Linked DNA regions of Stegostoma tigrinum. The protein of the gene in region 1 interacts with the protein of each later gene in a pairwise test. Links are inferred from orthologs where the notes say so. Each region holds a gene or a part of one and is shown in the gene's direction. Other genes may lie near its edges. The genes, in order: fibronectin type III and SPRY domain-containing protein 2, protein FAM107B-like, fmr1 and esd.

Region 1 (7,718 bases):
TGGGGCAGACCATTTAAGACTCGAATGAAGAGAAATTTCTTCACCCAGAGCAGAGAGCCTGTGGAATTCTCTACCACAGAAAGCAGCTGAATATTTTCAACAAGGAGACAATACAGCTCTTAGGGCTAAAGGAATGAAAGGATTTGGGGACAAAATCGAAAAGAGTGGGATGATCGGCCCTGATCATATTAAATGGCAGGTCAGGCTTGGAGGGTCAAATGGCCTCCACTTGATCCCATCTTCTGTGTATCTCTGAATAACAGAAACAGAGTCAGCACCTCGTGGGTTGTCACAGGCTTGGGAAGAGTCTTCATTAACAGGGGCTGGTGGAGGCGGAGGTTAAATGGTTGAGTGCAATACATCAAGCTTCGTTAGTCATAAGTGGTTCACGTTTGGTGCTGACATTTTAGTAGCTCATTATTAAACAAAAATACTAATCTTCACCCAATGCTGACAGATAAAACTAGCCTTATTATCTAGGGCAGGAACGGTGATGAAGGAGGAGGAAAGGACCCTGCATGATGACAGATAGTTTCTTACAGTGTTGTATGCATTGCTGACAAACAATAAAGGTCTTCAGGAAAAGGTTCATTCTCCCTCTGCTGGAACCAGTCCCAGTCAGAACTGCCCAGGGATTAGCACTCACACTGTGTCTTTGAATCAGGTTTGGATATTTCTGACCACACCCCAGAGGACTGAATAAGGGTTTTTCCACGTTACGATTTCAGGAAACAGCAGCACCACAACAAATCACTACCAGCAAGAAAAGTGATAATGACATTGCATAAGAGGATGACAATCATTTTGTTTATCCCAATTTCCCTAAAGTAAGGATGCTAAAAAAAATGCAAATATCGCCACACATTTCAAGAGGTGGAATCTGACAAAACAATCAATACTGATGCGAAGTGACTTTCAGAGAGGTTAGGTTTCAAGCAGCAATGTAAAAGGAGGAGAAAGCATGTGCAGACCTGTGCATGTGAATTCCAAAACTCAGGACCCAGGCTGAAACAAACAGTCAGCAATACAGAAGCAAAGGAAATCAGGGCTGTGCATAAGCTGCAGGCAGACTGAAATCTGCCAGATTGGGGGACTGGAGGAGGTTTACAGAGATAGGGAGGGACAAGGCCATGGTGGGATATGAAAATAGAGATGGGAATTTTAAAAGGTAAAATAATTGAAAGAATCCATGCAATTCAGTGAGCACAGGGTGATCATGGAATCGGTTGCTCACAGATACCAGCAGCAAAGTTTTGGCTGAGCTTGAGGATGGCCAGAAGTCAAGTTGAACAGCTGAGTCTGAAAGAGGGTCACAGCAACAGAGGAGTTGACACAGAATGACTGTACTGATGTTTCAGAGGTGTACAATGGTCAGCTTGGTGCTACCCAAGATAGGGCCAAAACAGCAGAAAGACTGTGAAAAGTCTCACTCAGCTGGGAATACTGAAGCAGCAGTTAACTGGTGAGTGCAGGGTAGATTCTTTGAGGGTTCAGTGCATTACTGGATGATGATTTAGGAAGCAAGAGATTCACACTCTTAATGCAACAAGAGAGTTGTGAAACTCCACTGGTACTCAGATTGAAAGTGAAAGTGTTAAGAGCATGTTATCAATACTTTGATTGTTCTGTTATTGTCCCAAGTGTATGGAGGAGGGGAAGAACTAGTTCTAGATGTTTTATAATCTTCCTCTGAAACATCCCAGAACATAATCTACTTAGTCAGATTTTGTTTTATTATTTCCATTGCCAGGAGTGGCTGGTGCCAAGAGCATGCTCCCCACCTGTATTTTGTTTCTTCCCAAAAGTCTGCATTTATATAGCAGTTGCAACACTTCACATAAGAACAAGATAATCACATCAATTTTAATAAGACACACATCCCATGTGGCCAAATCTAAATCCCAATAGTTCCACAGAGGACCAGAGTTGGCCTTTGGAATGAATACCCTCCATATCTTGGAGGCACACACAGGAAGCCAATCAGCATCCAGGCTCTTCCAGCCTCAAACAAGCAGCTGCAAACACCTGTAGAATGCCAACGGGGCCTCTCCTTCAAGACCGGACACACAAACAATTGTAACCCATTTCTCTCAACGGACCCAGGCAAGAGGCTGCACTGATGATGTTACCCAGCAGGGTAATGAAATGCCTGTGGAACAACGAACCAGCTCAGCGAGCCAACCAACCACAAGGACCCAGACAGTATTTGAACAAAGGGAAGATGTTTTCTATCATGGCAAAAATCTGGAATTCCACAGGCACTCTTAACATTGCGCAAAATAATCTACACCACAGATGCAATCTGTGAATATACCTGTACTGGCTGTATTTAATGTAGAACAGTACCTATATAACTACATTTAAAGACAGTAGACCCAGGAGGGGAGTACAATACTATTGTGTGAGTTATAGGAATGTGAAGGAGGTGAGCAATCCACTGGGGAGGCTGAGAGCAGGGCTGGGATCTATCAACAGCCTCTGATCAGAGTTGATTTAATGGAAACATCGTGTAACATGAATCCAAACCCGAACAGGAGCCATCAGAGCGGGCGGCCACTCTGCCCTTCGAGCTGTTGCCCTCCCGCTGACCTACCACCCCCCAGGCCCTGGCCGTACCTCCCGCAGGCTTTCCCGGCCACGGGCCACTCGCTGCTCGAGGCTTCTCCTCCGGAACTCGGTCAGATTCTCGAAATATTCGCCGTCGGAGTCCGAGGGGAATACCGACTCCAGGAGGATGCGGCGGCCGCACAGCTCGGCCGCAGCGTCCAAGTACCTCTCCAGCTGGCGGCAGGAGGCTTCCAGAGCGGCGCCGGACTCCGGGCCCTCGGCCAAGGACCGGCCCGGGAACAGGAGGCCCCAGAGCCCGGGGCCCCTCAGCTCGGGCAGCACCGGGAAACACGGCCACAGGGCCGAGCAGCTTGTCGCCAACTGCCGGTGGATCCAGCGCAGCTCCTCCGGGCGGTACAGCGCGGCCCAGCTGCCCTGAGCCCCGGGCTCGCCTCCCGCCTTCCGCCGCTGCCCACGGCTATGGCAGGTGACGGCGAACTTCCCCTCCACCTCATTCCAGGCCACCAGGAACCGCAAGCAGCTCTTCTCTGTCTCGGAGAACACATCAGGCCTAATGGCCACCCAGCCCTCCAGGCTGTCCGGCTGCTCGGACTCCATCAGCGCCAGGCTTGAGGCCTAGTTACCGGGGCCACCTCCCACTGCGCATGACACCGTTCGTGCACCGCCCCCGTGTTCTAACCCCGCCCTTTGCACCGCCCCCGTGTTCTAACCCCGCCCTTTGCACCGCCCCCGTGTTCTAACCCCGCCCACGTCGCCAGGCTCGTCCCGATTTCAGCCCCGCCCCCTGATCCTGATACCGCTCCGAGCCACGCCCTCTTCCCTTGACTTCTCCCATGTCCCTCCGTGAGCCGAACCCTGGCCCCAGGCCTCACCCCTTCATCGTTGATGCCTAGATCACTATCGTACACAGCAAACAGACACAACCTTGTGGCACACCACGAGGCTCCCAGTTTCGGATTCTTCAGTGAATGGAAACACCTCCATCTTACTCCATCCGTCATTGAGTTTAACAATCCCTGTCAGCTCTCTTCTGTTGGAAAGATAAGCATCACCACGTCCTTCTTCAGACCCGAAACGTTAGCCTTCCTGCTCCTCTGATGCTGTGTTCCTGTCTCCACATCCTGTTGTTCCTTATGGCTGTATCCTCGCAGAATTTATCCACATTTTCTCAAGAGCTTTTCTTTATGTGACCTTGTTTTACCGCTTTAGACTTTGTATAATCCCAGGCTCTGAGTCTGGGCTGTGGAAGTTGTTGAGTAAAATGGGGGGAGGAGGTCTTTGGGAGGGAGGTGTTCAGTTATACATTGCAGAAGGCAGAGTGTATCCCGTCTCCCTTTCCTTCACACCACACTCCTCTTTCTGTAGCGTTCCGAATAATGGAAGCTGTCTCACTAAAGCTTACAAAACGGAGTAGGTGCATGGAAGATGTTTCCCTGATGAAGCAAAATACTGCGGATGCTGGAAATCTTAAACACAGAAAATGCTGGAGAAACTCAGCAGGTCTGGCAGCATCGGGGGAGAGAGAAACAGAGTTAACGTTTCGACTCCAGTGACTTCTTCAGTACTGAAGTAGACTGAGCACAGCCGACTCTGGTCCCCATCTCATGGCAGCAGTATCTTCAGATAGCACATTCACAGTTCTGACAACAGCCACAAATGGTTTCCCATCGGTCTCTTTTCTCTCGGTACTTCAACATTCACACGGGAGAGGCTCAGCTCGCCAGGCCAGGTTGATCACAGAAAGTTTGTGGCACAGAAAGAGTCCAATCAGCCGATCCTGCTTGTGAGTGAGGATGGGTGGAAGGATGCTCTGAGCCACCTTTCTGAAGCTGACTAACCGGGACATTCAGTTAAACACTGCTTTGTTCTGTCTATAACTAGTGACTTCAGCCGATTCCCTCTCCCGTCTCTTTGGGTGTTTGCAATCTCTGATCGGCCATGAACTTTGCTGAATGTCACTTGCAGTGAGGTAGTGTCACCAACCGCTGTCTAAAAATACCCCAGGCCCGGCCCCGGGGGAGATACTGGGGGAGAAAGTGAACGATATGAATTTCGTGGCCAGGCGGGAATACTGATAAATGCGGGTTTGTGTGAATCCGAGAGGATTTGAATCACTGACGGAGCTGCATTTCAGGCCAGCTCCTGCCAGCTGAACACTAACGGAATCTAAACTATGTCCCGCAATATTTGAGGATCTCACATCCCACTTATTTTTAGACTTTGCAGATCAGTGCGTATTCCGAGATTTTCTTTCCTTGACGGTATGCTCCATGTTCCAGAAGGTTCTTGCTGTTCGCTGTGTCTCTCCGTAAGTCTCAGCAATGATTGAAGTGGAGGAGCTCAAAGGCCAGCTCATAATGTGGCACTGGGTACAGGACCCGACTCACAATGTGGCACTGGGTACAGGACCCGGCTCACAATGTGGCACTGGGTACAGGACCCGGCTCACAGTGTGGCACTGGGTACAGGACCCGGCTCACAATGTGGCACTGGGTACAGGACCCGGCTCACAATGTGGCACTGGGTACGGGATCGGGCTCACAATGTGGCACTGGGTACGGGACCCGGCTCACAATGTGGCACTGGGTACGGGATCGGGCTCACAATGTGGCACTGGGTACAGGGCTCGGCTCACAATGTGGCACTGGGTACAGGGCCCGGCTCACAATGTGGCACTGGGTACAGGATCTGGCTCACAATGTGGCATTGGGTACAGGGCCCAGCTCACAATGTGGCACTGGGTACAGGACCTGGCTCACAATGTGGCACTGGGTACAGGGTCCGGCTCACAATGTGACACTGGGTACAGCGCCGGGCTCACAATGTGGCATTGGGTACAGGACCCGGCTCACAATGTGGCACTGGGTACGGGATCGGGCTCACAATGTGGCACTGGGTACAGGACCTGGCTCACAATGTGGCACTGGGTACAGAGTCTGGTCCAAAAGCCCTAAAACTTGCGGGAACTTGCGGCAAATGACTGGAGCGGAAGATCGGGCGGTCAGACATCTCGACGAAGGGGAACAGCTCAGGAAGAGGGGGCTGGCTTGAGTGGGAGTGGGGGCAGGACTGAGGGAGAGTGGGGATAGGACTGAGGGGGAGTGGGGATAGGACTGAGGGGGAGTGGGGGCAGGACTGTGGGGGAGTGGGGATAGGACTGAGGGGGAGTGGGGGCAGGACTGTGGGGAGTGGGGATAGGACTGAGGGAGAGTGGGGATAGTACTGAGGGAGAGTGGGGATAGGACTGAGGGGGAGTGGGGGCAGGACTGTGGGGAGTGGGGATAGGACTGAGGGAGAGTGGGGGCAGGACTGAGGGAGATTGGGGGCTGGCTTGAGTGGGAGTGGGGGCAGGACTGAGGGAGATTGGGGGCAGGATTGAGGGGGAGTGTGGATAGGACTGAGGGAGAGTGGGGGCAGGACTGAGGGAGAGTGGGGATAGTACTGAGGGAGAGTGGGGATAGGACTGAGGGGGAGTGGGGGCAGGACTGTGGGGGAGTGGGGATAGGACTGAGGGAGAGTGGGGGCAGGACTGAGGGAGATTGGGGGCTGGCTTGAGTGGGAGTGGGGGCAGGACTGAGGGAGAGTGGGGATAGGACTGAGGGGGAGTGGGGGCAGGACTGAGGGAGAGTGGGGATAGTACTGAGGGAGAGTGGGGATAGGACTGAGGGGGAGTGGGGGCAGGACTGTGGGGGAGTGGGGATAGGACTGAGGGGGAGTGTGGCTGGACTGAGGGGGAGTGGGGCTGGACTGAGGGGGAGTGGGGGCAGGACTGAGGGGAGTGGGGATAGGACTGAGGGGGAGTGGGGGCAGGACTGAAGGGGAGTGGGGGCAGGACTGAGGGGGAGTGGGGCTGGACTGAGAGGGAGTGGGGGCAAGACTGAAGGGGAGTGGGGGCAGGACTGAGGGGATGAGGGCGCAGGACTGAGGGGGAGTGGGGCTGGACTGAGGGGGAGTGGGGCTGGACTGAGGGGGAGTGGGGATAGGACTGAGGGGGAGTGGGGGCAGGACTGAGGGGGGTGGGGCAGTACTGAGGGGGAGTGGGGGCAGGACTGAGGGGGAGTGGGGGCAAACCTGAGGTGGAGTGTGGATAGGACTGAGGGGGAGTGGGGGGCAGGATAGAGGGGGTGAGGGGGCAGGACTAAGGGGGTGTGGGGATAAGACTGAGGGGGAGTGGGGGCAGGACTGAGGGGGTGAGGAGGCAGGACTGAGGGGGTGAGGAGGCAGGACTGAGGGGGAGTGGGGGCAGGATAGAGGGGGTGAGGGGGCTGGACTGAGGGGGAGTGGGGATAAGACTGAGGGGGAGTGGGGGCAGGACTGAGGGGGGTGGGGGCAGGACTGAGGGAGAGTGGGGGCAGGACTGAGGGGGGTGGGGCAGTACTGAGGGAGAGTTGGGGCAGGACTGAGGGGGAGTGGGGGCAAACCTGAGGTGGAGTGTGGATAGGACTGAGGGGGTGTGGGGGCAGGATAGAGGGGGTGAGGGGGCAGGACTGAGGGGGTGTGGGGATAAGACTGAGGGGGAGTGGGGGCAGGACTGAGGGGGTGAGGAGGCAGGACTGAGGGGGTGAGGAGGCAGGACTGAGGGGGAGTGGGGGCAGGATAGAGGGGGTGAGGGGGCTGGACTGAGGGGGAGTGGGGGCTGGACTGATGGGGAGTGGGGATAAGACTGAGGGGGAGTGGGGGCAGGACTGAGGGGGTGAGGAGGCAGGACTGAGGGGGAGTGGCGGCTGGACTGATGGGGAGTGGGGATAGGACTGAGCGAGAGTGGGGGCAGGACTGAGGCGGTGAGGGGGCAGGATGGAGGATGTGAGGGGGCAGAACTGTGGGGGTGGTGCTGATCGATGGGAATATAGGTACAGCGGGCAGCACCTGCCTAAGATTGTAAATTCGGTGCAGCGTTGGGGGAGGGGGTAATGGGATCAGGAACAGTGATGGGGTTTGGCTTTAGAGGGGCCTGTTGGTAAACCCTGTCAGAGTCAGGCCAATGGAGGATCCCACTGAGTTGGTCCTGGAGGTATTTAGGTGCAATTCCGATCATGTTGCAGATAAGCGACGCAATGGAGGTGTGTGTAATCATTGGGTCATTTTAATTGAAACTCAAAGCACAGTGTGAGGTGCTCCACCTGAGTAAGATAAATTACATTGATGGGAAT
Region 2 (8,382 bases), on another chromosome or scaffold:
GCACCTTCTCTCACCCAACAATCAGACGTGTGCGTACCAAATAGTTAGTAAACCCAGAAGATTTCATTCTGCCTGCCTAGCCGCTCCCTGCTGAGCCCAATATTGGATCCCTGGCCCAACAGCAGCTAAGATCGGCTGACTTCATAAAGCGTTATAGGAAAGGAAGCTGCAAATTTTTATAGTTTCTGGCTACCATTGTAGCTCGATCCAGAAAGCTCTATTCTGAGTGTTATTTGATCTCTGCACTTGAAGTGCTGGTAGCTTTGAACAGTCGTCTCATCAATGTCACGCTGGCATATTGTGACGCTCTAAATAAGCAACGCAATGCAGCAGATCAGACTAAAGTTTACCAGATTCAGATAACCTGGCCAGCAGAAAGTTAATGTTAGTCAGGAAGATTGCATTCACAGGCATACATCCTGAGATGGCAGCATGGCAAGACTCAAACCAGTCCAAACCTAAATTTGCAATTGAGATGTGCTGACTCTGATTCGTGTTGTGAATTCAGCCAATCACCTGAAACAACGGATGCTTGGAATTGCATTAGCGACAGCTTTCTTTGTAATCTACCTCGTTAGATGTGGAATATCCCACCACTGGAGCAAGTGGGTCTTGAACTTCAACCTTCTGGCTCACAAGTAGGAACATTACCACTACACCACAAGAGCCCTGGCATCAGCTGAATTTATTGGAGTATTTGGTCTACCAATCTCATTATTCAATGCCATTATTCAAAAGTGACCCTGTTCAGTTGTAAAGGAAGGAAGGGTATGTTACCTCATTGTAAAATAGCATCTGATATCTACTATTCTATTGCAGGGGAGTTAGTTGGTTAGTTTGTGGGTGATGTCAGTATCCAGGATGTAATGAAATGATTGTCATAATGATTTATACTGTATGTTAAAACAGACAAAATTGTTCTAATGAGTGGCAATAGGAGTTTAATATGGATAAATGTGAGGTGCTGCATTTTGGAAAGACAAATCAGGGCAAGACTTATACACCTTAATGATAAGGTCCTGGGAAGTGTTGTTGAACAAAGACAACTTGGAGTGCAGGTTCATAATCCCTTGAAAGTAGACTCGCAGGTTGATAGGAGAGTGAAAAATAACCACTCCGAAGTCTATGTGGTTCAAACAAGCCCCAAGTATATTATTTGATCATAAATAAGGGATAAGCTCTTATTGATTACCCAAAGCATTTGTCAAAAATACTGAGTTTGCAGCACACAGTTATAATTCTCGACTTCATGCAGACCATTGTTATTCTCACCCTTCAGCCTTGGATCTGCTAGTTTCCTTGGTAATTCAAACACCTTGTCTGTTGTTTATCTCCTTGCTCTTTGTAGCAATGAGTGATATGCTTATACAGGCTGTGAATGCTAAAACTTGGGAAAAAAAGATCGAGTATAATCATATCATTTATTTCAAGATAATCACATACTTTAATTTTAATCATAGTAATAGTAGGGTCTTCATTCCCACCTCAACACAAATGGCTAGGTTTATCATTACGTTTACACTCTCAGTGAAAAATGGTGACTTAATTGTTGATATCCAGCTGTCATTGGAAATAAGAGTTTTCAATCTGAGGGCTTCAAGCTATAAATGTTTTATTTGTAAACCTCCTTGGACCTCGCTGGTCGGTTAATTATAGTGATTTCAAAATTAATAGTTTATGACATAGACATGATTTCCTGTCATTGAATTTGTAACGTACCTGGCTTGACAAGAAAATGACACCATTTGTGAGTATAAATTATGATAAATTAACGTAAACAATGGATAGAAAGTGCCACTATTGAAATAGCTGTGGCATTACACTGATTGACACTATTAGCACCTCATGGTATCTGTCACCTCTGTGAGAATAAGGTTCCAAGCAAGGATTGGCTGAGGGGTAGTTTGTTGTTAGCAATCCTTTTTTTGATCTGTACTTTGTCCAGAACCAGCCTAATGATTAGTGGAAGAGGATGGGCCACCATAGAGTCCTTCCAGAAGACTAATTACTAGGATTCTTGAGAGCTATACCCTCCATAGGCTACTGTAGCACTTACCGTTTAACACACCAGCCTGTGTGTGACAGTCTCAGAAGGGATGGAGTTCAATGTCACGGAAACATTAACTCCTTCAAAATCAATACCTTGCACAACAATACAACCAGATCTTCCTGTTGAAATGCTGCAAAAAGTTGACTTTCATCCCACTTCTGACATTATGATGGAGGGGAAGTTCTTTTGACCTGGTCAAATGGGTAGGTCCCAAGATGCCATCATCACCTTCCCAAAAGCCTTGCAAAGTGCTGGGAGAATTGGAATCAAAATCATCAACTAGATTAGGTTGTAGCATAAAAGAGAATCACAACATAATGAATGTCCAGCAGCAAGAACTAAAAACTGCTATAAGTGTGGCCAATCAGGGCTCTTCAGAAAATATTGCAAGTTAACAACACCTTAATTACCTCACAAATAAAGAAATATCCCGCAAAATGGAAAATTTCCAGAGAGGTGGAAATCATGCAACAAGGAAAAATGTTCCTAAAGTTAAAGCTCCGGAACAAAAAGTGAAGACAGTGGTTCTACTGACACTCAGACGGAATAAAATAGATTCTGGACCATCGGTGTGAAAGTACAAGGCTTTGAAACAGAATTTAAACTCAACATAAAAGTAGCTGTCGCAATACTGACATCAGCTACCTGTGGTTGAAGTCTGTAAGAGTCAGGTCAATAAACATGTAGGCCCAGGGTCCAGAAATCACAGCACTTCAAATGTCTTGGCAAATTACCTTGAGACTTGGCCACAGCTCATGGAATGCCAGTAAAGTATTATACATACTGAGAAATCAGACTCTCATTTTTAACCAGAACTGAATGTATTCAACTAAGTCTCCTACAAATAGTGAATACTATATTTTAGAATGAATGAAAAAGGGAATTTCAAAAAGAATTTCCAAAGCTATTTAAAATCTTGTAGAAGAACCATTACAATACTCTGCAAGAAAATACTAAACTCAGCTTGCTTATATCACAGCGACAGAAACAACACAATGATAATCAAGGGTGGTCACTGTCCCCAAGGCACGAGGAGAACAGAATTGATAAAAGATTCTTCCAAACAGTTTGTTTCAATACATTGTTTCAGCTTTTTGACAAAGTTGAACCTCAACTCATCAAAGTCAATAATTTTGGAATCACTGACTTTTAAAATGAACCTTGGAAGTTGGGAATATATTTTGCAGTTGCTTCTCAATGAATGCTTACTTTTTGACTCTGCTTTCACCAGTTTCGCATTTGCCCTTGTGCAGTATATTACAATATTTTATCAGGAAATATACTATGCCATTACTTTCATTTGGTCACATCAGAAATGAATCACCAGCACTTAACTCCCACACTTTCATTACCAAGGACTACATGATGAAAAAACTGGAAACCTCCTCTGCAGGTTAAAAAACAGGAATGCTATGTTTTGATGAGATTGATAGCACTAAACCAGTTTTTTAAAGGTTGCAAATTTAATGAGCATGTCAATTTTGTTTCAAGCCATTTTTACCTGACAACCATGCGTATGTAAATTAATGTGCTGATATCCTGACGAGAACAGGGAATCCATTCAATAATATAGCCACTTGCATTATACAAACATTGTTTAATATTCGTCATTTTATTTTCCACATAAAGAGTTACCAGCAGGGTTTCCGTCAGCCAGATCTTGCCTGCTGTTTGGAGGGCCAGCAACAACCTTTCCCAGGGAGACCTACCAAACCATAAACCAAACAGGCAGCAGTGAGGCCACCAGCAAGCCTTCACCTGAAATCAGGACCCCAGGGCAGAAATCTGACCTACCAAGAGATGCCAGTCACTCAGGAGACAGTGACTCTTGTGCCCAGCAACGCTGCAGGGAAGACCGTGGCTGTTTCAGGAGAAACCTTCACCTGAGCCCCAGGATTGTGAAGTAACCTTGCGATGGGGTAACCCTAAACCTAAACCTAACCCTAACCCTACCACAGAGATTGGTAATGTCAGGAGGGGTTTCGTGGAGTGGAGGTCATTGGTAGAGGAATCGGCAGCAAAGGCAAGGGGTAGCTTTCTGTCAGGGCCTCAGTTCCTTTGATTGAGGGACCTCCTCTTATTGGCTGGCAAGCCAGCCACACAGTTTTAGCTGTCATGCACAATGCTTAGCAAAAGGCTTGCCTCCAGCCTGGATTAGTCCTGGCACAGGCTGATTAAGCCCGCAGGTGATCATAAATTAGCTACTTATTGGTCTCAGTTGGGCCATTCCTCTTTGCTGCTCCAAGTGTGTAATAACATCTCTGAATAGCTTGTTTAGAAAAATAGTTTGAGCTATGATCAGTCTGGGAAGTAGTCTCCCCACCTCGTTCCACTTACTGTCACAAAATCACGGAATTGTTCAAGCACAGAAGGAGGATTTTCAGCCCATCGTGTCTGCATGAACATTTTAACTTGGAGCCAGTCTCCTGCCTCTTCCTAGACTGCCCGAAACACAGATACAAATGGATGGATGACCTGCTCTGAGAGATTTACCAATGCCACACACAGCATGGTCAATAGGAATTACAAACTAAACATTTTAGGAATTATTATTACTCCAAGTTTCTCCCTGACCTATGGTTTTGCAAATTAATTATACAGAGTTCAAACGAGCCGTTTTAATTAGTGTCTTACAAAAGTAATTGATTATAGCTATACAAAGCAAACTACTGAGATGTGGTGTGATGTGCCTCCAGAACAGGTGGGACATTTGCCTTTTGACCCAGATGCAGGGACACTACAAGACCCTCAGGCAATCGATTGTATGATTGGCTTTGTTTAGAACATTACATTCACTGTACACTACAGGTTTCTGGTCAAACATCACAATCAAAGGCTTTTCTGTTACCACTTATGCTCAGAGAGTTCTAACATATTAGCTCTGGACAAGTGGAAGGAAACAGTGCTGGATTTTCATTCTCTGATGTTAACACCCAAAGGGAATATTTTGGTTGTCAGACTAAATCAAAGCAAAATGCAACGTTATAGTTTACAGTTTGGGGTCTCCACATGAAAAAATGTTCAGGAAAATATTCTCAAGTATCTTGCTCTTTCTGCAGCAAAGATTGCTAAATGATCTTTTTCTTTAGAAGTAATTATGGTCTTCAGATGTTTTCATTTCGTCTAAGATCACTTGACAAGTTACACTCTCCTATATGCAGAGCCACGATTTACGAGAATGGTTTCACAAAGAAAAAAAATTCAGTTTTGAGGATAGACTGAACACGTTGGGACTAGTCTCCTTTGAAAGACCAGTGCAGACATGATGGCTCAAATAGCACCCTTCTGTGAATCTAAGATCCTGGCAAGTGCAACACCTGAAGTGAACGTGGATTGGATCTTTGGCTGGAATATGGGTGAGCCAACACCTTCCTCTAGTTCCGATTATCTCAGACTCTCAGCTCAGATTCCTTTAGAATCCTAGAATTACCACAGTGTGGAAACAGCCATTTGGCCCATCAAGTCCACGCCAACCCTCCAATGAGCATCCCACCCAGATCCACCCCATCTCTGTAACCCTGCATTTGACATGGCAAATACACCTAGCCTACACATCCCTGGCCACAATGGCAATTTAGTATGGTCAGTACACATTACATGCATATCTTTGGACTGTGGGAGGAAACTGGAACATTTGGGGGAAACCCAAGGGACATGGGGAGAATGTGAAAAATCCACACAGACAGTCACGAGGGATGGAATTGAACCTGGGTCCCCAGCGCTGTAAGGCAGCAGTGCTAATCACTGAGCCACTGTGCCACCTTGCAATATAAATCACAACACCCGTAACTCTAAGAGGTTAAGTTTAATCTCTACCTCTTGGGGAAGGTTGCCCATCCATTGTAGAAACTGTGTGAGTGCCATCTCATTGATGGGCTCTACAATGGGCAGACAATCCATTTTCCCAGATCAATGCTTGAACATCAGAGTTGAAAATGACACTGACTTATAGACCACACACATTGTTACGCTCTAACTGGATCAGTGCAATTCCAAAAGACACGCTGAATTTTCATACAAAATCCAAATAATTGTCAGGTTGTAACAAATAAATAAAATGAAACTTTGATTTGCCCAATGATGATGAGTCTCAGGGTCAGGATATTTGGGGTGGAGGGGAGCATGATGTTTGAGAAAAGCTTACATCATTCATCCCTTCTGGCTTACCTTTGTTCAGAATATCAGATAGAGAGAAAACTTAGCGGAAGTCATACATCTACTTTATAAAAATTGGTTTTAGAACATAGAAAAGTACAGCACAGTACAGGCCCTTCAGCCCACAATGTTGTGCTGTGAAATAATCCTAATCCAAAACTAAAATAACCTAACCTACAACCTAACCCTCAATTCACTGCTGTCCGTGTGCATGCCCAGCAGTTGCTTAAATGTCACTAATGACTCCACTTCCACGACTACCACTGGCAAAGTATTCCATGCGCTCACAACTGTCTGGGTGAAGAACCTCCCTCTGACATCTCCTCTATACCTTCCTCCTAACACCTTAAAACTATGACACCTCTTGGCAGTCAATACTGTCCCTGGGGAAAAGTCTCTGGCTATCGACTCTATCCATGCCTCTCATTATCTTGTACACCGTTTGCAAGAACGCAATCACCAAAAACTACATTACTTTGCTCATGAAAAGATGTCTAATTAATATTGGAAGTTGCTGGTAATAAATTCTAATTGTAGCTAGTTTTGAACAGTTTATGTCCAAAGGAAGCAATGATATGAACATTAATGCAAAAGAGAGTTGACTTAATCCCATTGGACATACAGAAAAATAAATTGCTGGTTAACAAGATCTGAAGTAAAATATTAAGCTGTTGGTTTTGAGAAAAGAAAACTAACGTTTTTTTGCAAGGTTTTCTACTTCATTTGAGTCTCCATACCGATAGTTAAGATGTGTAACAATGTCTATATTAATGTAATTCTTACATCCATCAATTAGCATACCTTCAATTTTGTAGCTCACAAACTCAAACCCATTTAACAAAAAGCCTGTTTTAAGCAATGAAATGGCAACATTGCAATTCATTCATGTGACTGTATTGTAACTCAACTGATGGTCAACTGGAGATTAAAACGATTTTGAGCTAGAGTTCATAAACTGTCTGGCTATTACACAGCACTAGCGGATGTTCAACAGAATTTAGCAGGGTACGTGAATCAGTGCAAAATACTAAAATGGATGGCATTGCTGCTTGGAAGAGCTCCAGATGTAAATGTCAGAAGACCCAGGCCCATCCAGCAGGAACATCTTCTTTGTGTAATAACGAGGCATTGTAGGCCTGTCACATTCTATGTAAAGCCATCCATGTGCTCTGTGCATCATCACATGGTGTCATGAGCAATTAATGTAATCTTTATTCAGTACTAAAGCTTCACAGGGCACATACCACAGCTTGCTGTGGACTGAAGAGAGAAATACTTGTGTCAATCAGTGTTGTAATTGCAGTGTTTTGCTTTGTTAATTTATTTTATAAATTAGTGAGACTCTTAAATACTTGTTTTTTGGCTTCTCCGTCCCAGGTCTTTGCCATTTTGCTGAATTAGTAAAGCCTTGGTTCTGTGGAAGAGTTGTCAAGGTGCCAGAGCTGCGTGTTTTCACATCTCCTGCCTGCCTGCTGCAGTCTGTGCCTCCTCGCACATTGTGCAAGCAGCTCCTCTTGCAGAAAGAGAACAGCACGGGGAGCCCAGACAGAAAAGGATATTGTTCAGGGGAAACTGCAGCAGAACCTAAAGAGGAGTGAGCAAAACCATCAACATGGGAGCAGCTCATGGTAAAAAGGTAAACAGTCCTTTGTTCGTCATCTTGATTTAACATTTTACATAATGAAAGAGGGGTCAGAACGCTTAGCAGCACATAAAATATACTAAACTACTAATATTTTGTGTGCTGGCTGTGGATAATTGCCTATATTGAGTTAAGTACCAACTGCTAAGAAGAACTGAAACAAACTGATTGTTGTCTGAAAATAGAGAAATGGGCTGTGGGATTGAATTGCTTTAAGTATGTTAAATTTAAATGATTAACAGATATGAAGCATAGGTTTATTTATGTTATTCAATAAAAGCGTTAATTCTTTTCTGATCTATTTGTTTCCTCACACTTTCCCTTATTGCCTGGTTTTGTCCAATGAAACAGATTGGGAAAATCTTACCCGCAGGAAAGATTGTGGCTATAGAAAAGCCTGAGTTAGAATATTAATAATCTAACATTGGACCTGTACTAGCAATTCTAATCTTACTGGCATAGATCTTGCTACAGTAGATCCTCCCACAATAATGTGATTGTAAGACAGTGAGTTGTTGACAAAAAGGGCAAGAGA
Region 3 (7,803 bases), on another chromosome or scaffold:
ATAGATTTGCTCAACAGTAGACAAAAACATTTAAAAAGGCTCAGGCAATAGCAACCTTTACAGAGATGGGAATCTAAGATTGCTGTAGGAGAAACTGATTCAAATTCATGGAACATTAGCACCAGGACTAGGGAAGGAGGAAGCTGTTCTGATGAAGTGGGCTGCACCAGAATCCTGGTAAAACAGAACTAGGGCTGTGGATAGGACTTTAAACCGGAGATGGGGGTAGTTCAGCTGCATGAAACGTTGTAGAAAAATGTTAAGGAGCATGAAGGGAGCTCAGGAGAAGGTCTTAAAATTTCCAGATATGGAAAGGCTCAGGAATTTAACATCTGATAAGAGGACAACTATACGAAGAGTGGGCAGTCAACACAGGACTGAGTGTGTTATACTTAAATGTACACAAGTACATGAAACAAGGTAAATGAGATTTAGTATAGCTTGCAATTGGCAGATATCATATTGCAGATATCAGGCTGGGAATTAAATATCTCAGAATACATTTCCTATTGAAAAGGGCAGGCAGATGGGCACAGGGAGCAGGGTTGTCTTGTTAATTTACTACAGTGTTACCAAGAATGTAGGGTTTGAGACACAGAAATAGGCTGGTAAGGCCAGGAATTTTGATTTCCACTGGAGTGTAGGAGGTGGAGAGATGGCCTTGTAAAAATGTTTGTAAAATCACAAGCAGGATAGATAAGGTCAATAACAAGGATCTTTTCCTTAAGAGATTTGGGGGGGGGGGTGGTTGGGGGCAGGAGGGCGTTGAAAACTAGGGAGCATTTTTTAAAGATCTCTTTCTCCTCTCACCTTAAAAAGAACATGAGGGGCAACACTCGTTTACAAAACACGTTGTCATGCATGGGACAAACAGCCAGAGAACATTGTAGATGCATGTACTGTTACAACATTTAAAAAACATTTGGAGAAGTTCATGACTAGGAAAGGTTTGTGGGGTACAGACCAAGCACAGGCATGAGGGACTAGTTTAGTTTGGGGACAGGGTCAGCATGGGCTGGTTGGACTGAAGGGTCTGCTTCCATGCTGCGTGACTCGACTCTAAACTGATAGCATAAAGTGATATACAGTCAGAGGATCTGTGTGGGTAGAGTTGAGGAACCACAAAAGGAATAAACCTTAATAAGAGTTACGTACAGGCTTTCGGGCTATAGTCAGGACAAGGGAAAATAAAATAAATCAGGAGATAGAAAGGGCTTGTTAGAAAGGCACTATTACAATTATCATGGAGACTTTACCATGCAGGTGTACATACCTTAGACAAAAAAGGCAAAGCTGGATATTGGAGTACTGGAAAATAAAGCTGGAGAAGTAACAATGGAGAGAAAGAAGTGACAGATAATCTGAATACGTACTTTGCATCAGTTTTCACAGTAGAAGATGCTAATAGCATACCAGAGCTTCAACAGAGTCAGTGGGTAGACATGAGTGTAGTGGCCACTACAAAGGAGAAAGTGCTGGGGAAGCCAAACAAGAACCTAAAGGAGGATAAGTCAGCGAGACCAGATGGACTACACCCCAAAGTACTGGAGGAGATAGCTGTGAAAATTATGGCTGCGTTGCTGGTGATCTTTCAGAAATTACCAGAGTCAGGGAAGGTTCCAAATGAATGGAACATGACCAACGTCACAGTCCTGTTTAAAAGGGGGGAGGAAGGTACAAGTCAAGAAACTCTCAGTCAGTTAGCTGATCATTGGTGCGAAAGAGAGAGCGAGAGCACAGTTCACATATGGTATGACTTTTCTTCAGAAACCTCTCACTCCTGCATCACTCTTAACACTTCCACCATAGGACTTCCCCTTGCAATCACAGAGCATAAAACACTTGCCCATTCATCTCCTCCAAGGCCACATATGGACCTTCCAGTTGAAGCAGCCCCTCAATCTCAACTACTGCAATTGTTGCTCATGTAATAAGGAGATTGCAACATGAGCAAAGCCAAATACAGACTGGGGGATGAAGTTGCAGAACTCCTCAGACCTTAGGAATTACCTCAACTTGTTTGCCATTTCAAAAAACCACTTTGCTCAAGTAGACGTTTCTAATCTGGGCCTGTCACAATGGTCCAAAAACAACACTAGGCAGAATCTACTCCAAAGCCTCGGAGAACAACACAAAGTCAAGGACCAACACCTCCAAATTTTCACTCAGGCACTATTGCCTTGGAGGTGTCAAAACTGAATCCAGAAACTTCCGAATGTAAATTTAGATTTTATTGTCTCGTACTCAAGTACAGGGCTACAGTGAAAAGTGTACAAAGTCACTATTCTCCGATACAATCTTAATTTATAAAAGACAAGATTAAAAAGAGAAGTGGAAGTAAAAGGAACAGATAAAAGAAAAGGATCCATCTAGATTACTCCCTGCCTCACTGACAGCAAAACAAAGAAACACAGTCCATCACTCAGTCTGTGAACACTCCTGCTGTAGCTAGAACATCACCACTTCCATCAGGAATCCAGGCCCAGCAACAGCCTGGAACTGTGTCATCATCTTCTCTCCACCAAGATCACCACGAGTCAATGCTGGGCAAATTTCAGCAACGCACGATCGACTGAAGCGCCGGATCCCGAACAGGGCACCTGTTCTGGCTTACATTGTTGCCACTCATGTCTTGGGACCACCATTTCGGCAAAGAAACTCAACACTGTCCACACTCCAGGAAGGAGTCACTCCCACCACTAAAACTGATCACTATCGATACAGTGAGGAGCTGAAGGAACACGGCAGGGTTAGGCAGCAAAGAAGCAGGATGAATCATACAGCTCTGGACCTTGTATATCCCTAACCATGAGGTTTGTTCTCCATTTTCATTACATACTAGCCCACACCGCTCCTCCAGCCAAACCGCAGCTTTGTCTTGTTTGTGCCTCATTTACTTTTGACTTTCACACCCTTACATCCCCCAAGTCTATTATTTCGCCATAATTAACATCACCTTTTATCTTCGACAGGGCACTTGGGTCTGTAATGAAGGCGCTGGCGTTGGACTGAGGTAGGCAAGGTTAAAAAATAAAAAATCACATGACACTGGATTATAGTCCAAAAGATTTATTTGAAATCACTAACTTTCCGAGTCTTACGCCCGAAGGAACGAGACTCCAAAAGCTGGTGTTTTCAAATAAACCGGTTGGACCTGGTGTCGTGTGATTTTTGACCTTAGCCTGCGCAATTTAAGAGAATTATACAGTACAGATGAGGCCTTTCGGCCCATCAAGTCCATTCCGCCCATGTTACACCTGCCCTCTTACGCCACTTGATCTCCGAGAGAGCAAAAAAAACAGTTTTCCTAACAGACTTCATTTCTGTAGGAGTTACACTAATTACAACATGCAAACTCTAGGTTCCTTCCCACCCACCAGCTGCAGCCAGACCTGCTGCATTTCTCCAGCATCCTCGGTGATGGTTCGCATAAACTTTTCCTGCATATGTCATGCCTGGGAACCTCGGCCATAACAAACCCAAGTCCTTCCGCCGTGAAGGCCCCAATAACATGACCATGGCCACGACTGCCCTACAGCAAGATCCCGCCCTATAAACCAGGGCTGATTGGCCACCTGCCGAGCAACGAATGGCTCAAATTCCTGTCAATCCTTTCCTTAATATCCCGCCCTCCACGACTGCACGCGTTCTCGACGGCGATTGGATTATCTTCCAGTCAATTACCTTACCGTCCCACTATCGTATACTGATTGGGCCGTTGCCCTGGAACGATTGGTCGATAACCATATCAAGTTTCCAGGGCACCGCCCCCCTAGTCCCGCGGCTTCCTTCGCCAGCCGCCAGACAGTCCTCGGTTTAGCCTCACGTGACTCAACACTCGCCAATTTGAAGGCACGGACTGGACAAATTTCACGTCAAACGTTTCCATGGGGATACCACCCACCAAACGTGCGCCGATTGCCCCGTCTCCAAGAGCCGACTGGTTCACACACGTCCATCAATTACAGTGTCCTCCCCACCAATCCCCGGCCGATCCACCCCCGATCCGCGGGTCGCGGTTGCTTCATTTTTCTGTCAATCACCCTCTTTCCCCGCCCCTCAATCCGAGCGCACAATTTGTTTTGGTTTAATAAACATGCGCACCTTGTGATGAAGCGTTAGTCCCCACTCTTCACGCGAGGGGGGAAAAGAGGAAATGTACATTTAAAAGAAAATAATTTGTGCAAAAAAAAGAAATCGCCTTGGCGCCGAGGAACCCGCGGACCCTCCCCCCAACTCCTCTCTTGGAGAGTTGAAGAGCGCCGCCTCCGGGGCGGGGGGGGTGGGAAGCGGATTTCCCTTTTTCTCGTGCACGCGCGATGCCTATGGAGGCTGCGCGCGTATTCCCTCGTTCACGTGCACGCGCAGACACTTCCCCCAACCGCTCCCCACCCCCGGCCCAGCCCATTTCCCATGCACGCGCGGCTCCCGCGCACATACGCTTCCCCGCGCACGCGCGGATTCCGTTCACCCACCGAAGCACTTCGCCGTGCACGCCCGTGGCTTCCCGGGCGCGTGGGAACTCTCCTCGTTCCAGCGTGCACGAAGCGCGCGGCCTCCGCCGTCCCTTTCCCCCTCCCCCCCCCCCACCCCACCACAGACTCGGTCCCATAGTGCACCGCGGGCAAGCCAAGATGGAGGATTTAATGGTGGAGGTGCGCGGCTCTAATGGAGCCTTTTATAAGGTACGGGGAGGGGGGGTGGGTGGAAACGAGGAGGTGGTTGGCTGTTGATTCATTTCCTCATCTATCAAAACAGTTCCCTGTCTTTGCTTCCCACGTTGTCTGTTTCACGCTGATGAGAAGCTCTTATTTCTGTGTGACTGCCTGCTGTCTCTATCCCATTTGATGATTATCTCTGTCTGATGGCTTTTACCTCATGAGTCCCCCCAGGCTTTGCTTTCCCTCTCTTTGGGTGGGCGTGTCTCTCTTTCTCTCTGCTGCTCCTCCTCGGTTATAGCCTAAGCTGCTGCTTTTGTTATTGTCCTGACTACAATGGTGAAGAGGCCCCCTCAATCCAATCTGGAGACGTGAGTGTCTGCCTCTGTTTGGTCTGAGCCTTTACCTTCAGGCTTGACGATTTGGAAATAAAAGAAGGCCCTTGCCCGCATCTCTTTTCTCTTTTGTATTTGGGGAATGTTCATCTTCACACAAGTCTGCTGTGAGCTGCTTTGTGTTTGAGTTTTTTTAATAGGATGCATATGTGGGCGTGCACTTCATCCATGGATTGAGCCACTGTGTTTGGACTGTCCCAAGTCACAGTTTCATGGTTGTTGATAATCAAGTGAAATCTTCACCTTTCTGCAAATATTGGTGTTCACCTTTTATAATATTAATATAGTTTAATGTTTTCTTTAGTAATTTATACTGTACGATTGTATAGAAAGTGTATTTTATGTTTTGTTAATTGGTTACATCACATCAGCTTGTAGTGCTTTTACTACCACAAATGTGGATATGTTGCTAAGGTGATAGATTCCATTTCTAGCTTTTTTTTTGAGGGGTGATGAATTGATTCAGTAAATTGTTTTTTTAAAAAATCTGCAATTACCTAATACCTAATAGTCATACAGCACAGAAACAGACCCTTCAGTAAAACTTATCTGGGTTGACCAGACATCCCAGAATTGTGAAATGAAAAGACATCTTTAATGTAGTGCAGTTGTGAGTGGTTTGAACAATAAGAACCACCTTTGGATTCCTAAATCTTCCTGGCTATGACCTATTCTTTGATAATATCCCATAGCTATAAAATGTTCAAAGTACTCAGGCAGCATCTGTGAGGAGAAAAGTGGTTAATATTTTATGATTTATAATTATTCTGTTTCTGTTGTTATGTTCACTTGGAAGTGACAAAGCAATGATATTGTAGGTGCAGGAATGCAAACTAATTAGTTTTCAATGGATTTTAAAACCTGCTTAGCTTTAGTATTTCTGATGGCTTTTAAGTTCTTCTGAATCAAGCCCAATACCATGATAGTTTAAACTTGCCCTTCAGCGAAGTTGTGATTTAAGTCGATACTTTTTGTTCAAGTTTGCATAAACCATTGAAGTGCTTTACATTCTGGGACCATGATCAGTGTTCAATTTTTGCTGATTATGTGCAAAATAGTTAACTAGATACTTGTCTCATGTTGTCTATGGAGACTTAGCTGTGTGTAAATTGGCAGCTGTGCTTGGCTACAAGACAGCCGTTGCTAATTTTCGTAAGTAATTCCTTGGCTGTGAAATGCTGAGAGACATCCTGTCAATGGCCTTATTAAAGCTAAAAGAAACTTGCATTTCAGGATGCTCTGTGTGGAAATGCTTACACGCTTATGTTTTGTATGAATTTGAAATGCCATAAAAGTAATTTAGTTAATACCATAACCAATGAAGTAAACTTTACAGTTAGCAACAGAATAGTATGCTAATATTAGGCAAATATTTGCGCTTTTATCTATTCTGTACCTGAAAGGAGAGATGTGGAGTTCAAGTTTATTCAGAATTTATTTCATTAAAGAAGTAGCTCTGAGTTAACAATTTTGGGATACTCACATTCCAGCCTTAAACATATTCATCAATGGAGCACCCTCAATCCTATCGGGTAGAAAGTTTAAGTTTCACAACCCATTAGAATGTTGAGTTTTCCCTTGTCTTAAACCAGAATAATCACCCTTTAACCTATATGTGCCCCCACGTTCTCGATTTCTTAGTCAGCAAAAGTAATGTGTCTACCTTTGCCAGCCACTTCAGGCCATGTATATTTCTCTTCTAAATCTGTCTAGTTTGTTCAATGGTTTCCTATCGCAATGGTCATCTCGTACTAGTGACCTTTCTAATAAATCTTCACTGTACAACCTCCAGCACAAGTACATCCTGAAATATTAAAACCAAAACTTACAGTATTTCTAGTGTTATTTTCCCAAAGTCCTATAAAATTGTAATAGGAATTTTCTTATTCTTGTAACTCCAAACTCTTTATACTAAAGAGAAACATGTTGTTTGTGTTTCTAATTGCTTGCTGTACTTGCATTGGTTTTCTCTGCGCTTATGAGGGAGCCAAGTCTCTAAATATCAAATGTAAACGTTTTGTGCCGAACTAACAAATATTCAACTTTTTTGTTTCTTCTGTCAAAAGGAAATAACCTCATTTCTTTACACTATACTCCCATCTTTCACCTTATTGTCCATTATATCTGTAGCCTTTGTGCCCTTCCTATAAACTATGATTCCATCTAGCCTTGTATCATTAGAAAATCTAGATGGCATTATTCAAGAGATAGTAGGAGCTGCAGATGCTGGAAAATCTGAAATAACAAGCTGTAGAGCTGGATGAACACAGCAGGCCAAGCAGCATCACAGGAGCAGGAAAGCTGACATTTCGGGCCACCCGAAACATCAGCTTTCCTGCTCCTATGATGTTGCTTGGCCTGCTGTGTTCATCCAGCTCCACACCTTGTTATTTGGTATTATTCAATCTTTGTCCAAGACATTAAAATAAATTATAAATAGTTGAGGTCTCAGAACTAATTCTGAATCACTACACTGACAGTTTGAAAATACTCGATTTATCTCTACTCTATTTTCTGTCCTTGAGCAACAACTCTATCTGTTCTAGTAAATTAATGTGTATATATCATATGCATGTATCTTGTGCGTTGGCATTTTGTGTAGGACCTTAGCAAGTGCCTTTTGCAAATCCAAATATATTACATCTACTGTTTCCTCTATTTATTCCAAATAGCTTGTCAAATGTGGTTTTCCTTTTGTAAAACCACGTTGACATAATCTAATACAATAAATAATGAATTAATACTTCCGT
Region 4 (7,450 bases), on another chromosome or scaffold:
ATTTCAGTTAGGCCAAATTTGGAGTCTTGCATGCAGTTCTGGTCACCACAATATAGGAAGGGTATGTAAACCTTGAAGAGGATGTGGAGGTTTAGCAGGATGTTGCCTGGGTTGGAGCGTATTAGCTGTAAGGAGAGGTTAGATAAGCTTGGATAGTTTTTGCTAAAGCATCGGAGACTGAGTGGGGGAGCCTGATAAAAGTACATATAATTATGACAATCATGGATTGGATGAATAGTCGGGGTCTTTTTTTCCCCAGGGTGGAAATTTCAAATACTAGGGGGCATTGGTTTAAGGTGAGAGGGGGAAATTTTAAAGGAGGTGTGCGAGGCAAGGCATTATAAATAGAAGGTGGTAGATGCCTAGAATATTGAGCCAAGGAAGGTGGTGAAAGCAGCAATGACAGCAAAATTTAAGAAGCATTTAGACAAACATGAACAGGCAGAGAATATTGGGATATAGATCACATGAAGGCAGATGGGATTAGTTTAGAATGGCATCATGGCCAGTACAGGCACGGTGGGCTGAAAGTTCCATTCCTGTTGTACTGTTCTAAGTCCTGCTTTACAATCTGCTACCCAGCTCCCTAAAACCTTGATTCAGGACCTCATCCTTCTTTCTCACTATGTCATTGGTACCTATGTGAACCATGATCTCTGACAGCTTTCCCTTCCCCTTCAAAATGTCTGGCAGCCATTCAGTGACATCCTTGATCCTGACTCTAGGGACGAAACACACTGAAAGGCTTAATATAGCAAAATTATGTCCAGGTGAGCTAAAGGAGTGGTTGAACTTTGGCCAACAGACTTTGCAAGCAGCCAAGAACTGGAGCAGACAGACTCAGACCAAAAGAGGATATTGTATCATTCATACTGTTAAATGTTTCTGTAACCTCTTATATGATTGATGGTAAATGTGGACTGTATAATTTATCATAGCACAATTGTTATTCCGGGAATGAGGTAAGATTTGTTGCTACGGCCTTTGGCTTCCTTACAAGCGCTAGAACAAAGGAGCCCAGTAAAAGATACCTCGATCATCCGAACTGGATTATTCCTCCCACTGCAGAATACAAACCATGATAGGGTCACGTCCTTAGCTGCAAAAATGCCTGTACCTCTCATATTGAGTTGCCTACCAGTATTGTTCTTCCTCGCTTCACTCCACCCTTGGGCAGCTGGGCTCTGGCTGCACTGACTAGAGGAACTGTCGCTCCTACTATTTCCAAGACAAAAATAAATTTCTCAAGTAAGATGCTGACTGGGGCTTACCTGCCTGGTTTTCTTCTTCTGACTGGCAGTCACCCAAGCCTCCTCTGACTGCACTTCTTTAAACTATGAAGTGACCACATCTAAAAATGTGCTCTCCAAGTAACTCTCAGCCTCATAGATTCACTGTAGTGCCTCCAGCCAGTGCTCAAGCTCTGAAACCCAATACTTAAGCAGATGAAACTGATGGCAGTACCTGTAGACGTGATCATCCAGACTTCTAGAACCACCTAATACTTTCCATGTTATGCAGGCCAATGCTTTATCTGTGCTAGCTTTGTTGTGTTCTAATTAACTGGTTATTTTTCTCAAAATAAGTATATATGTAGACAAGATAACAAAGTGTGGACCTGGATGAACACAGCTGGCCAAGCGGCATCTCAGGAGCACAAAAGCTGACGTTTCGGGCCTAGACCCTTCATCACAGAGAGGGATGGGGAGAGGGTTCTGGAATAAATAGGGAGAGAGGGGGAGGCGGGCCGAAGATGGAGAAAAAAGAAGATAGGTGGAGAGGAGAGTATAGGTGGGAGGTAGGGAGGGGATAGGTCAGTCCAGGGAAGACGGACAGGTCAAGGAGGTGGGATGAGGTTAGTAGGTAGGAAATGGACGTGCGGCTTGAGATGGGAGGAAGGGATGGGTGAGAGGAAGAACAGGTTAGGGAGGCAGAGACAGGCTGGGCTGGTTTCGGGATGCACTGGGGGGAGGGGATGAGCTGGGCTGGTTGTGTGATGCCGTGGGGGGAGGGGACGAACTGGGCTGGTTGTGGGATGCGGTGGGGGAAGGGGAGATTTTGAAGCTGGTGAAGTCCGCATTGATACCATTGGGCTGCAGGGTTCCCAAGCGGAATATGAGTTGCTGTTCCTGCAACTTTTGGGTGGCATCCTTGTGGCACTGCAGGAGGCCCATGATGGACATGTCATCTGAAGAATGGGTGGGGGAGTTAAAATGGTTTGCGACTGGGAGGTGCAGTTGTTTACTGCGAACCGAGCGGAGGTGTTCTGCAATGCGGTCCCCAAGCCTCCGCTTGGTTTCCCCAATGTAGAGGTAGCCACACCGGGTACAATGGGTACAGTATACCACATTGGTGGATGTGCAGGTGAACCTCTGCTTAATATGGAAAGTCTTCTTGGGGCCTGGGATGGGGTGAGGGAGGAGGTGTGGGGGCAAGTGTAGCACTTCCTGCGGTTGCAGGGGAAGGTGCCGGGTGTGGTGGGGTTGGAGGGCAGTGTGGAGCGAACAAGGGAGTCACGGAGAGAGTGGTCTCTCCAGAAGGCAGACAAGGGTGGGGATGGAAAAATGTCTTGGGTGGTGGGGTCGGATTGTAGATGGCGGAAGCGTCTGAGGGTGATGCATTGTATCCGGAGGTTGGTGGGGTGGTGTGCGAGAACAAGGGGGATCCTCTTTGGTCGGTTGTGGTGGGGGCGGGGTGTGAGGGATGTGTTGCGGAAGGGTGTCTCTGATGAAGGGTCTAGGCCCAAAACGTCAGCTTTTGTGCTTCTGAGATGCTGCTTGGCCTGCTGTGTTCATCCAGCTCCACACTGTGTTATCTTGGATTCTCCAGCATCTGCAGTTTCCATTATCTCTGATATATATGTAGACATATGTTTTCACTTATTTTCTTGAAATTATAGCTCGTTGCTAGATTAATATAAAGCTAAGAACAGGTACTGTTATATTTCTGCCCCACCTGTCAAACTTGAAAATGTGACAACCTTCTCAAAAGTTCAATGAGAGTATATTTCTAATGTCCTTCAAGGAAGCAGTTTTTTGTTCCTACCTATCCACGCTAAATTCAACTTCTGGTCTCAAGTGATACGCTTCACTCTTAAATGCCTTCTTAAATCACCCAGAAAACATTTATAAAAATAACTGTAAATGAACACACTGATCATTCTCTGTTTTGAATTAGGCCAGTCTCCTGGTGAATGCTCACAAAATTCTCTCTTATTTCTCTCCACAGAAAACATTTGTTCACTGTTGCTTTCCACTTTCTATCCCAGATGACACAAACTTGAATGCATTTATGAGAATTGAAAATTGCATACATTAAATTGTCAATGTTTTTTCCTTTTAGTTTCTGGTCAGTTGTGCATTGAAGCAAAAGGCATGTCTGTCCTATCTCAGACTAAAATCCATGTAAACCAAAAAAGTACTATTTGAAGATGAACATATTATTGATACTGGAGATCCATTTTGAAGTACTGTCACTCCTTGTTATCTGCAGATTCAGAACCCAAGTATTAGCAAAGTGGATAAAATATACCATTTTATCTTTTTTCATTGATCCATTCAGTCAGATTATATGGTCCTTTGCAGTACAGAGTAGAGTTTACACTGGTGAAATGTCCATGGTTTTTTGTATTCTGCTGGAAGTCTGTTCCCATTCCTCCCACAGAACGAGGATTTGACGGACAAAAGTCAGATCAGTGTCGATTTGCAAGTTTACAGTCTTTTCTTTCTGGGATACAATTTTGCATCCTTGGATACATGAGAGATGCAAAATCTCTTTCAATCGTATTGCTCTTTTCCACAATAATATACAGCCCGGAAATTAACTTAAAGTGAATATATTACAGATGTCATGTCAAGCGAACTATCGCTTTTCTATAAATACACAGAGGTCTTATCAAATGACCCTGGTTTATTTAAAAACCTGGATTAAGGCAGCTGGTCTTTTCTTTAAGCGTAACGTAGTCAAATAATTTGTAATTGCCGTAGTTTTCATATTAGGTTTTTCACTGAGCGTTAAGAGGGGGCCATCATCGTATTGGTATACTTTTAATGATCAATGCTGCTGAGTTTGGGGCTTGTTGCTGATGTTTCGGGTCAGTTTATTAATGGGTTTACTGACCCTTAGGCTCAATGATTTGTGATTCTGAAATTTGAAATATATGTTTGAAAAACACGGTTTCTAGTTAATAACACAGTTATCACCAAACTGAATAACTTGGCTTTGACGTGGTGAGATTAGAGACGATGATTAAAGTGCACAAACTATACCAACTTTAACCCTAACTCACCCCCACACCTCGTTCCTGTCCAGGCGGAGTTACCACCAACTCCTTCCCCTCAGAAACACCACATCACTTCTCCGCTTCCCCGGAGCTTAGTGCCTGCATTTTATGTGCCTGGCTGTAGGGACGAGAGTCGCCGTCTCAGACGCTCGAGCCCGGGTCGTTAGCGCGGTCAGAGGTACGTGACAGGCAACGGCAGCACGCGAGGGCGGGGGTCGCGCGGGGAAGGAGAAGGGGCGGGGGTCGCGCGGGGAAGGAGAAGGGGCGGGGGTCGCGCGGGGAAGGCCCGGGCCGGATCGAGAGCCTCTGCCGCCGGTTGAAAATGCAACGGGAACTGCTTCAGGATTCAGTGACCGAGACTCTGAGGCTCAGGCCTGAGCCTAGGCGGTAAGGAAACGGAGACCGCCCTCTTCCCCTCCCCGGGATGGAGCGAGATGAATCAGGAATGTTCGTATTTACATTGCACATTCTACAACCAGGGCCCAGCAAACAAAAGACAACCAGTGAAGCACTTTTTGAAGGGTGCTGGCTGTTTGTGTTGAAAGTTAGCAGCTAATCTGCACACAGCAAGCTCACTCAATAAAGTGAGTGGTTTCGAGTTCCGGGTATGTGTTCACAGCTCTTTTCAAGTAAATCGATAATCAAATGTAGGACTTTATACACACGGGAAAGGCATAGGATTGTGTTGACTTCTGTTTGAAAAAGAAACTTGGATTTGATTTACAGTCAAACCCATACTATATAGAAGAGGTCCTTTTGGCCCATGAGCAAACAAGTACTCGAAAATTGAGACTAGTCCCGCCTTCTACGAGACTCACAGCCTTGAATGTTATGACATTTCGGGTGCACATCTAAGTATTTTTTTTAAAAGTTTTTAGATTTCCTGCCTCAACTACACTTCCAGCCAGTGCATTCTAGGTTCCCACCATCCTCCGGGTGAAAAAGAATTTCTTCAAATTGCCTCTAAACTGCCTATCCCCTTAAAATTATGCCCCCTTGTTATAGACCCTTTCAGGGAATAGCTGCTTTCTATCCACTCTGATCCCGCCTCTCATAATCTTATATACATCTATTATGTACCCTCTCAGCCTTCTCTGCTTGAAAGAAAACAATCTGTTCTTCTCCGGATTGTCTCCATTGCTAAACTGCTCCATCCCAGGTAACATCGTGGTGAAACTCCTCTGTGCCCCTCATTATTTGCCAGAGCCCCTACATCTGTGCCATCAGCACATATTTGTGATTCTGTTCTAGTGCCCAAGTCCAAATAGTGACTTTTGTTTTCTAGAACTGTGGAAAATGACAAGCATTTATCTTCCAGTCTGAACACTAACTCTAACCCGAAACAGTCATATAGCACAGAAACAGACTCTTCGCTCCAACCAGTCCATGCTGAACATAATCCCAAACTAACCTAATCCTACCTGTCTGCTCTGGGGTCATATCCCTCCAAACATTTCCTATTTGTGTGTTATCTAAGTGTCAACTAAACATTGTAACTATGCCCACATCCACTACTTTCTCAGGAGGTTCATTCCCCACGCGAACTACCCTCTAATGAAAATTTGCCCCTTATGGCTTTTTTAAGATATCTGTCCTCTCACTTTTAAAAATATGTCCCCAGTCTTGAAATCCTAGGGAAGAGACACCCACCATTTAACTGTATTTAGAAACCTCCATAAGGTCACCCCTCAACCTCCTACACTGCAGTGAAAGAAGTCCCAGCCCATCCACCCTTTCTTTTATAAATCAAACCTTTCATACCTGGCAGCACTTCCTGGTAAACCTCTTCTGAACCCTCTAGTTTAATTACATCCCTCCAATAACTGAGCAACCTGACTGAATACTGTACTCCAGAAAAGGCCCCACCAACGTCCTGTACAGTCTCAACATAATATCCCAACTCCTTTGCACAGAGGACTGAGCCGTGAAGGGAAGCGTGCTGTATACCTGTTTAACCACCCTGTCTACCTGTGATGCAAACTTCAAAGAATTATGTACCCAAACCCCTAAATCCCTTTGGTTTAAGGAAGTACACAAACAATGAGGATTAACCAATAAGTCTGTTCTGCTGGTATTAATTAATAATCCAAAATTACAGCAATTACCACACTTCAGAAGTGCATTGGCACTTACTGAGTCTATGAAAGACTTTTGTCTCATTGTGAATTGCCATCAGATATTGCCCTGAGATTCATAACATCCATCTGAACCATTAGTGTACACACATTGAACATCAGTTTACCATTTGAGATCAGTCAGCACCTCCCTCAGTACAGCATCCAAGTATTAGTCGACATTGTAATCTCAAAACCCTCCTAATCCAGGTCTGATGAAGGGTCTAGGCCCGAAACGTCAGCTTTTGTGCTCCTGAGATGCTGCTTGGCCTGCTGTGTTCATCCAGCCTCACATTTTATTATCTTGGATTCTCCAGCATCTGCAGTTCCCATTATCTCTGAAAATAATACCTATTGGGTCTTTCCACACTGTCATTGTGTAAGCTGTATTTATATTCATACAAACATATGATCATATTTCTTTTTTTTCAAAATAAAACTTTCAGTAGTGACAAAAATGGCCCTGACTCAAATCTCAAGTGCCAAGTGTTTTGAAGGATATCAGAAGGTGTATGAACATGACAGGTGAGTTAGTATAATCAGCCTCACCATCTAACTTTCTTTTCCAATTCAGTATTTTGTTTCTGGAATTCCTTTGTGATTTAAGGTGTAAAACTTTTTAATCTCAATGCTGGTTAAGATAAACAGTGGAAATATTGTAACTTTAATACAGAATCCTGTAGAATTTAACAGCACAGCAGCAGGCATGCTAACCTAACTGGCCTGCGGTTTAATACTGCACCATGTGACAGGTATTTATGCTCTCTACAAGTCAATTGTATTCTGTTTCATCTAAACCTGCTGCCAAATGCTGTAATTATCTCTTTGTACTAATTCCACTTCCATTTAAATGCTGTAATGATATTTGCCTCAATTATGCCATGAGGTTGCAAGTTGCACACTCAAATCATGTTCTGGGTTAAGAGGTTTCTTCTGAATTTTTATTGGATTTATTAGTGACTGTATGGTATTGGCACCCTTAGTTCTGGGCTCCCCACACATACAAACATTTTTATGCATACCACTTCAAACCCCTGAATGCTTTTAACGGTCT

Evidence for each region.
Region 2: the proteins of fibronectin type III and SPRY domain-containing protein 2 (region 1) and protein FAM107B-like interact in binary tests that used the Homo sapiens proteins (3 or more experiments, as listed by UniProt). The two-hybrid records come from large-scale screens. The link is inferred for Stegostoma tigrinum from reciprocal best matches to the Homo sapiens genes FSD2 and FAM107A.
Region 3: the proteins of fibronectin type III and SPRY domain-containing protein 2 (region 1) and fmr1 interact in binary tests that used the Homo sapiens proteins (3 or more experiments, as listed by UniProt). The link is inferred for Stegostoma tigrinum from reciprocal best matches to the Homo sapiens genes FSD2 and FMR1.
Region 4: the proteins of fibronectin type III and SPRY domain-containing protein 2 (region 1) and esd interact in binary tests that used the Homo sapiens proteins (3 or more experiments, as listed by UniProt). The two-hybrid records come from large-scale screens. The link is inferred for Stegostoma tigrinum from reciprocal best matches to the Homo sapiens genes FSD2 and ESD.

The regions. Positions count from the first base shown.
Region 1 is NC_081386.1:35,973,197-35,980,914, forward strand, and holds the start of fibronectin type III and SPRY domain-containing protein 2, read left to right. Parts: upstream 1-4,654; 5' UTR 4,655-4,876; intron 4,877-7,718. Other genes in the region: WASP homolog-associated protein with actin, membranes and microtubules, read right to left, coding at 2,617-3,165.
Region 2 is NC_081364.1:52,121,084-52,129,465, forward strand, and holds the start of protein FAM107B-like, read left to right. Parts: upstream 1-5,364; 5' UTR 5,365-5,406; intron 5,407-7,562; exon of another isoform or gene 7,563-7,582; 5' UTR 7,583-7,817; coding exon 7,818-7,841; intron 7,842-8,382. UniProt on the Homo sapiens protein: Stress-inducible actin-binding protein that plays a role in synaptic and cognitive functions by modulating actin filamentous (F-actin) dynamics. Mediates polymerization of globular actin to F-actin. Also binds to, stabilizes and bundles F-actin.
Region 3 is NC_081368.1:9,511,334-9,519,136, forward strand, and holds the start of fmr1 (synaptic functional regulator FMR1), read left to right. Parts: upstream 1-4,593; 5' UTR 4,594-4,634; coding exon 4,635-4,685; intron 4,686-4,986; exon of another isoform or gene 4,987-5,029; intron 5,030-7,803.
Region 4 is NC_081365.1:73,601,575-73,609,024, forward strand, and holds the start of esd (S-formylglutathione hydrolase), read left to right. Parts: upstream 1-4,316; 5' UTR 4,317-4,390; coding exon 4,391-4,460; intron 4,461-4,543; exon of another isoform or gene 4,544-4,669; intron 4,670-4,718; exon of another isoform or gene 4,719-4,887; intron 4,888-6,842; coding exon 6,843-6,921; intron 6,922-7,450.